Linked DNA regions of Saccharomyces cerevisiae S288C. Changing the gene in region 1 together with any one later gene gives a genetic interaction. Each region holds a gene or a part of one and is shown on either strand. Other genes may lie near its edges.

The links.
Region 2: mutations in SNU56 (region 1) and CUP1-1 are lethal when combined (synthetic lethality), as found in Saccharomyces cerevisiae (one study listed by BioGRID).

Annotation. Positions count from the first base shown.
Region 1 is NC_001136.10:942,463-947,797, reverse strand, and holds SNU56 (Snu56p), read left to right. Parts: upstream 1-2,645; coding exon 2,646-4,124; downstream 4,125-5,335. Other genes in the region: AMD2 (putative amidase), read right to left, coding at 1-991; YDR239C (uncharacterized protein), read left to right, coding at 4,378-5,335. UniProt on the Saccharomyces cerevisiae protein: Component of the U1 snRNP particle, which recognizes and binds the 5'-splice site of pre-mRNA. Together with other non-snRNP factors, U1 snRNP forms the spliceosomal commitment complex, that targets pre-mRNA to the splicing pathway.
Region 2 is NC_001140.6:211,405-215,444, reverse strand, and holds CUP1-1 (metallothionein CUP1-1), read left to right. Parts: upstream 1-2,724; coding exon 2,725-2,910; downstream 2,911-4,040. Other genes in the region: RSC30 (Rsc30p), read left to right, coding at 1-262; metallothionein CUP1-2, read left to right, coding at 727-912; YHR054C-B (uncharacterized protein), read left to right, coding at 755-928; YHR054C (uncharacterized protein), read left to right, coding at 1,196-2,260; YHR052C-B (uncharacterized protein), read left to right, coding at 2,753-2,926; CIC1 (Cic1p), read right to left, coding at 3,467-4,040. UniProt on the Saccharomyces cerevisiae protein: Protects the cell against copper toxicity by tightly chelating copper ions. May also act as a depository for copper designated for the effective transfer into the apo forms of copper proteins.

The DNA of each region.
Region 1 (5,335 bases):
GATCAATAACGCCGTCACCATACCATATTCCAACAACATAATTATCGTGTAATTTACTTGTAGAGGAATCAAAATGGTATGGAATACACTTGACGTCTTGTACCCATGGTTGACAGATGTTGATAACGCAACTCATGAAGTATCTCAAATCCGAAAGATCTCTTGCCAACGGCCCAATTACACTGGGAATTGTTTCCCTTCCCTCAAATGAATTATCCACCCTCAAGTAAGGGACGCGTCCAAAAGTTGGTTTCAAACCAAATAATCCTTGGTAACTACTAGGAATTCTGATGCTTCCGCCTATATCAGTTCCTAGTCCCAGCAAGGAACCATGAGCACCAATTAACGAACCCTCTCCACCAGAAGATCCACCACTGGAGAAGCTTAAATTAATACTATTATATGTGTACCCAAAGGTGTTAGATTGTGTATCTGTAGCCATCATCGATGAAGGTACGGTGGTTTTTACAAATATAATAGCTCCTAAATCTCTCAGAAAACTGACAATCAATGATTCTTCATTCTTGGTTTTTGGTTTGAAAGTTCGACATAAATAACCCAGTGAGGTGTCTACACCCTCAACGTTACATTGGTCTTTGAGAGATATCGGTATACCGTACAAGGGTGGCAATATGGCTGGTCTATTGCTGTCGTAATAGTCAGCCAATCTCAATGCCTCTGAAAACATGATTTCGGATAGACAATTCACTACTTGATGAATTAAAGCAGCCCTATGACAAAATGCAGCTGTTATTTCATGGCAGCTTAACTCTTTTGCTTCCAGTGCCTGTCTCAAGGCCATAATCGTGGAGTGGGTGATCTGATTTTCTGAAGATGAGCATAAATCATCGATATTCTTGATTAAATTTTTTTTATCGTTCTTCAACCTCGTTATAGTTGTGCTGTTTAATTTCCATTCGTCTTTTATCTTACTGTTCAGTTGATCTTTTTTTAATTGAACTTTTTCCTTCCACGTTGAGTGCACAGTCATTGTATAACTTTGGTACCGTGTTGTCTGTCGTTAATAACAGGTCAGAGCGGCTGTCCCTTCCACTCCCCATTGAAAAAAAAGTATTTACTCGACTATATATATGTAATACGCTTTTGAATACTAAAATAATGTTATCAGTAATCTTATCTATTATTATCATATTATCATATTATTAGCTATTATTATATCATGAGCAATTCGCGCGCGCGGCATTTGAGATAGCAAACTTAATCCGTCACACAGATAATACTACAAATTATGACACATAATACTCCCGGTACTCAATAATATCTCATTGTTCGGTCACGAATGTGTCATTGACTATCCAATAGAGAATCAAATACAACGACTACTGGGAACTTATCTCCAGAAAGCCGGCTAAAAGTAGGTGCTTGACATAAAAAAATCTCCCGGGGGCGAGTCGAACGCCCGATCTCAAGATTTCGTAGTGATAAATTACAGTCTTGCGCCTTAAACCAACTTGGCTACCGAGAGTCGATTTCTTGCGAGGTGTTGTATCTCAAAATGAGATACGTCAGTATGACAATACGTCATCCTAAACGTTCATAAAACACATATGAAACAACCTTATAACAAAACGAACAACATGAGACAAAACCCGTCCTTCCCTAGCTGAACTACCCAAAAGTATAAATGCCTGAACAATTAGTTTAGATCCGAGATTCCGCGCTTCCACCACTTAGTATGATTCATATTTTATATAATATATAAGATAAGTAACATTCCGTGAATTAATCTGATAAACTGTTTTGACAACTGGTTACTTCCCTAAGACTGTTTATATTAGGATTGTCAAAACACTCCGGTATTACTCGAGCCCGTAATACAACACGAGGGCTTGAAATATGTTTCTTATAATTAATATCAAACTTGTTTGGAGGTTCCTATGACAGCGCCTCATAACTCGTGTCATCTTTGTACTTGTTAGAGATTGTTGGGACAGATGAACATTAACTTTTCATAAGATATTACAATAGCAATATAAATACTTAAATGGTATACTATAGTTCTAATGGAATTCTAGCATCATCTATTTAGTAGTATTTATATTATTAGTATATTATCGCATACGGTATAAGAAGATGTAGTTTACTTGCTTCAAACCAGTGACCTGAGAAAGGGGTGAATAATTTGATGATTGTTGGGATTCAATCCTTGGTAAAGGTATAATATTATGAATGAATAATGTACTAGAAGCTCTCCCCGAGATATAAGAACCCGCAAAAGAGGATCGGTATTCTTACGTAATAATATTATAATCTCATCTTCCATTTTTTATGTGACATTATCCTATTACATCATGAGTTGTTGCATTTCCTCTTCCATTTGATGACTGTCTTTCAATCTTTATGTCATCTTCTTACACCGCATTTGATAATATACTACTAACACGAATGCTAATAAACAGATGATATTTTGGATTTTTACTCCAACATGATCTTTAATTACTTCTTCATATTTCTTATTCTCATGATTGCTACTGGTTTGTTGTAACCTTTTTTTTATTTGAGCTAGAATTTTCAGCGCGCATCGCAGTGTAGAAAACATTAAAGTTATATTATATACTATAGTAGAAGTTTGACGTTGAGAAACAGTTTCCCTTCGACTAATATAAGCAAAAAATATTAGTATCATGCGCCCAAGAAGGAGAGGATTAGCGTATCATCATACCAAGCCGAAGGGACAACTTTCACAAGGACATTATCCTACGACATCCAATGATGGCCAAAGAAGGAAGGTCGGTAATTCTGAAGCATTCCAATCTTTTGATATATGGAAAAACCTAGATAGGATAAGGTCGACTAAGAAGAATGCAGGGCAATTCATAAAAGGTAGTCTGCTCATACTCCCCATGAGAACGGAAGATAAACAACAGTTCGACGAGTGCATGGATGAATTGCATAAGTATATATCGAAGGATATATTACGATGTTATCCACAGAAAGAGCAGAAAGATGAAGGCATGCTTTTCTACATAGTTTTGAAGGACTTCAATATATTGGACTCTTGCTTCGTATTATCAGTTCTGCTTGCTTTCCAGAAGCGATTATGGATGGCACCATCCGAAAAATCATACTTTAGAGTTCCTAAGAATATTAACTTGACAGGTTCGTTTTATTTGCCCAAGAATATAGAAACTGGTAGAGGCCATATAATAACAAGCTATAGAAGAGAGCAGCCCTCATCCAGTATTGTAGAAGTTGGTTTCAATGTTGTTCCAGATTTTCAACAGTTTCAAGTTAAGGCTTGTCATGTAAGTAAGTTCATGAATGAGCTTTCTAATTTTTTTTCACAAGTAGAATTTGGCAAGTGTGAAGCTAACGTGATAAACTACTTTAAGCGTGAATATAACCGCACTTATTCACAGATATCACTTGCCCTCTACGAACTTCCATTAATTGGCGATGGCTTGTTTGATATAAAGTCGTACATTAGTAAAACCAGGCCAATTATAGAAACATCAAAAGCTCAAATGATTAAACATATTTCTGAAATGAAGGCATATAACGAAATAAGTGGCCTTCAAGGAGATCAATTTCCACGACAACAAAGACCTTTATCGAATTCGCCCTCTTCAAATTCAATTTCCTCTTCTCAAACTATTGAAGCAGGTGCAACTTCATATCAAACACAACCACAGAGACACGCTGTTAATAAGCCATCAAATGTATTGAATTCTTCCAATCGTCATTCCGGGCCAAAAACTTTTGAGGACGGAAGGTATAGTGAAGGTAATAAACCGGGTTTTATGACGCAGGATGAAATCAAACAACATTGCATTGGTACCATAAAAGCTTCTATGGATGCAGTGAAAAAGAAGTCTTCGTATCAGATTCTAAAGACATACGTTAGGTGTCCAAGACAAAATTATATTGATATTGTTTATCAAAATCTAAATGATCTACGATCAAAGACAAATTGTAATATCGTCGTATTGAATCTGAATAATCTTCACGAGTCACAAATGTGGCTTGAATCTTTAAATACAACAAATTACACTATTTTTGCTCAGGCGCCTCACCCAAGTACCATCCGCGTTATTAGTATTGGTGGAGTCGGTGAATATATAGTCAAAGCATTAGAGCTGATATTGAATATATTAGAACATTGAGTCGCATATAACAGTGGAGGTGTATAGATATATTTAAAAAACCTTTTGGTTATTTTTTCTCTTTCATGGCATTTGCTCCGTATGCAAAGCGATAGTTTAATTTAATGTTTTCTTTCAAATGTCATCGCGGATTCAAAGAGCGCACTATTATTATTTGGCAAAAGTTTAAGAGGGAAAATGTTGAAATAGCATGTTCTGCAAAGCGAATTACAGGTTTTGAAGGAGTCTACAGGTAAAGTCTAATAATACAGTGATGTTTGATGGCTTTAGCAACAATAAAGGTAAACGAAGGTCTTTTTTTCGGTTTGGTTCTGAAAGTAAAAACAATGACTCTGAAAAATCCGTTAGAAAGCCATCGGTGCCCTCTACAATAAAGAAATCAACAAATATCGCACGAACTTCGACGGCTGAAACTTCTGCCCCTGATATACCGCCAAGAAGTCCAAATAGGAATGCTCATAGCAGGAGCCATTCTATCCAGGCACCATTACAAAAGGAAACATTAAAGAATACTAATCCATTTTTGAATGCTGAGGATACCTTAGGAGATTCTCTTGAATTAACACAGTCCAAGGAAGCGTCAGGAAACGATCACAAAGGAATTGAATATTTACAAGAAAACAACATCATTGGGCAGAGAACCAACCCCTTCACAACAAGCGCAAATTCAAATGCACATTTCTCCAAGATAAAACGTTCGAGGCCTCCACCACCGCCTATGGACATGAAGTCAATAACAACGTCAATAAGCAACAATACTACTAAGGAAGAAATAGAGAGTAATAATGATTCTGAGCGGGATAGTATTGCAATCTCATCCACCCACAATCAACATAGGCGGCAGCGTTCAGAAGCAGAAAAGTTGGTAGATGATATTGAAAATTACATTAATGAACACAAGGTAAGTTCCGGTAGCTCACTATCCCTAGACACGTCTGAAAACTCAGATACTAAAGCATCGCAAGATAAGTTGCCAGTAGATGTCATGGAAGCTCCCATTTTGAGAAATGTCAGCGCGGAGAGTTCCTTAAGCTACGTAAAACCACTTATTGTGGATAATGAAGAAGTAAATAAAGCAAGTAACGGAAATTTAGTACAATCAGATCATCTAAAAGAATTTTCTTCGAATCTGGATGATGGGGATGATAAATTTTCCTTTAGTACATCGGCTAGTGGTAAATCCACCAAAAGCCTTCAGCAAGTTTCTAAAG
Region 2 (4,040 bases), on another chromosome or scaffold:
GAAAAAACAAAATTTTGCGAGAAACTCTGATAACAATAATGTTACAGATTATAGTCAGTCGGCGAAGAACAAAAATGTTCTCTTGAAATTCCCCGTTAGTGAACTGAACAGAATCTATTTAAAATTTAAGGAGATTTCAGATTTTTTAATGGAAAGAGAAGTTGTCCAAAGGAGTATAATTATTGACAAGGATTTGGAATCTGATAATCTGGGTATTACTACGGCAAACTTCAACGATTTCTATGATGCATTTTATAATTAGTAAGCCGATCCCATTACCGACATTTGGGCGCTATACGTGCATATGTTCATGTATGTATCTGTATTTAAAACACTTTTGTATTATTTTTCCTCATATATGTGTATAGGTTTATACGGATGATTTAATTATTACTTCACCACCCTTTATTTCAGGCTGATATCTTAGCCTTGTTACTAGTTAGAAAAAGACATTTTTGCTGTCAGTCACTGTCAAGAGATTCTTTTGCTGGCATTTCTTCTAGAAGCAAAAAGAGCGATGCGTCTTTTCCGCTGAACCGTTCCAGCAAAAAAGACTACCAACGCAATATGGATTGTCAGAATCATATAAAAGAGAAGCAAATAACTCCTTGTCTTGTATCAATTGCATTATAATATCTTCTTGTTAGTGCAATATCATATAGAAGTCATCGAAATAGATATTAAGAAAAACAAACTGTACAATCAATCAATCAATCATCACATAAAATGTTCAGCGAATTAATTAACTTCCAAAATGAAGGTCATGAGTGCCAATGCCAATGTGGTAGCTGCAAAAATAATGAACAATGCCAAAAATCATGTAGCTGCCCAACGGGGTGTAACAGCGACGACAAATGCCCCTGCGGTAACAAGTCTGAAGAAACCAAGAAGTCATGCTGCTCTGGGAAATGAAACGAATAGTCTTTAATATATTCATCTAACTATTTGCTGTTTTTAATTTTTAAAAGGAGAAGGAAGTTTAATCGACGATTCTACTCAGTTTGAGTACACTTATGTATTTTGTTTAGATACTTTGTTAATTTATAGGTATACGTTAATAATTAAGAAAAGGAAATAAAGTATCTCCATATGTCGCCCCAAGAATAAAATATTATTACCAAATTCTAGTTTGCCTAACTTACAACTCTGTATAGAATCCCCAGATTTCGAATAAAAAAAAAAAAAAAAGCTATTCATGGTACCCGCTGCTGAAAACCTATCTCCGATACCTGCCTCTATTGATACGAACGACATTCCTTTAATTGCTAACGATTTAAAATTACTGGAAACGCAAGCAAAATTGATAAATATTCTGCAAGGTGTTCCTTTCTACTTGCCAGTAAATTTAACCAAAATTGAAAGTCTGTTAGAAACCTTGACTATGGGCGTGAGTAATACAGTAGACTTATATTTTCATGACAACGAAGTCAGAAAAGAATGGAAAGACACTTTAAATTTTATCAATACCATTGTTTATACAAATTTTTTCCTTTTTGTTCAAAACGAATCCTCTTTGTCCATGGCAGTTCAACATTCTTCTAACAACAATAAGACCTCGAACTCTGAAAGATGTGCAAAGGATCTGATGAAAATTATTTCTAATATGCACATTTTTTACTCAATAACATTTAATTTTATCTTCCCCATAAAGTCGATAAAGTCATTTTCAAGCGGCAATAATCGCTTTCATTCTAATGGTAAAGAATTTTTATTCGCAAATCATTTTATTGAAATCTTACAGAATTTTATAGCAATCACATTTGCTATTTTCCAACGTTGTGAAGTAATATTATATGACGAATTTTACAAAAATCTTTCAAATGAGGAGATTAATGTTCAATTGCTATTGATTCATGACAAGATTTTGGAAATTTTAAAAAAAATAGAAATTATCGTATCCTTTTTACGAGATGAAATGAATAGCAACGGAAGTTTCAAATCTATTAAAGGTTTCAACAAGGTTTTGAATCTGATTAAATATATGCTGAGATTTAGCAAGAAAAAACAAAATTTTGCGAGAAACTCTGATAACAATAATGTTACAGATTATAGTCAGTCGGCGAAGAACAAAAATGTTCTCTTGAAATTCCCCGTTAGTGAACTGAACAGAATCTATTTAAAATTTAAGGAGATTTCAGATTTTTTAATGGAAAGAGAAGTTGTCCAAAGGAGTATAATTATTGACAAGGATTTGGAATCTGATAATCTGGGTATTACTACGGCAAACTTCAACGATTTCTATGATGCATTTTATAATTAGTAAGCCGATCCCATTACCGACATTTGGGCGCTATACGTGCATATGTTCATGTATGTATCTGTATTTAAAACACTTTTGTATTATTTTTCCTCATATATGTGTATAGGTTTATACGGATGATTTAATTATTACTTCACCACCCTTTATTTCAGGCTGATATCTTAGCCTTGTTACTAGTTAGAAAAAGACATTTTTGCTGTCAGTCACTGTCAAGAGATTCTTTTGCTGGCATTTCTTCTAGAAGCAAAAAGAGCGATGCGTCTTTTCCGCTGAACCGTTCCAGCAAAAAAGACTACCAACGCAATATGGATTGTCAGAATCATATAAAAGAGAAGCAAATAACTCCTTGTCTTGTATCAATTGCATTATAATATCTTCTTGTTAGTGCAATATCATATAGAAGTCATCGAAATAGATATTAAGAAAAACAAACTGTACAATCAATCAATCAATCATCACATAAAATGTTCAGCGAATTAATTAACTTCCAAAATGAAGGTCATGAGTGCCAATGCCAATGTGGTAGCTGCAAAAATAATGAACAATGCCAAAAATCATGTAGCTGCCCAACGGGGTGTAACAGCGACGACAAATGCCCCTGCGGTAACAAGTCTGAAGAAACCAAGAAGTCATGCTGCTCTGGGAAATGAAACGAATAGTCTTTAATATATTCATCTAACTATTTGCTGTTTTTAATTTTTAAAAGGAGAAGGAAGTTTAATCGACGATTCTACTCAGTTTGAGTACACTTATGTATTTTGTTTAGATACTTTGTTAATTTATAGGTATACGTTAATAATTAAGAAAAGGAAATAAAGTATCTCCATATGTCGCCCCAAGAATAAAATATTATTACCAAATTCTAGTTTGCCTAACTTACAACTCTGTATAGAATCCCCAGATTTCGAATAAAAAAAAAGCATATGTATTAATCCTAAAATGTATTATGAGAACGTCTTTTAAAGGTAAAATGCTGTTATCCCCGTCACTTTCAATGATCTATTTATTTGAAGCGGATAGTACAACAGATCAGTCTAAAACGTATAAGCTCTTAGACCGAGAAACCAATATTCAAATAATGACTTTATTTTTAATATACACTTCAAACATATATAGATATATACATATGCACCGCACTCTATGAAATTCAAATTTTTTTCTTCACAAGAAAAAAATGAGAGAAAAGATAGATAAGGAGGAAACAAATTAACTTTTAGCCTTCTTGACAGCTTCTGACTCGCTAGATTCTTTTTCAAGCTCGCTAGAAGATCTCTTTTTTGCATTGTTAATTTGTTTAGAGAAAATTGAACCCAATTCGGAAGGATTGGCGATTTCCATCAAACCCTTGTTGAAGGTAGACAAATGAACTTGTACACCATCAATGGTGACCATGTCATCTTCGTGGGTTTCTTCGATTTTGTCCTTTTTAGCTTCAAGTTCATCAAGAACGTCCTGGTTATAGTATAATGGCAATACGGGCGACCTATTGGTCTTGATAAAAATGGATCTGATTTGGTATGCTTTGATTAACTGTTCAGAAATTAATTCAACGTTATCTACAAACTCTTCTGGCCTTAACCATTCTAAATTACCCAAATGGACATTCAACGTGGTACCTCTTGGAAGTTTAACGGGCAACTGATTCATGTAAACCTTTTTGATATTGTTCGTCAAAGTGGTCAAGGAAAATTCCTTATTTGCATGTGTTCTAATTGATATAGGAGTAGTTTCTACTTTGTTGTAGGCTTTGCCTCCCATAAGTTTTGGCAAAGATGTAACT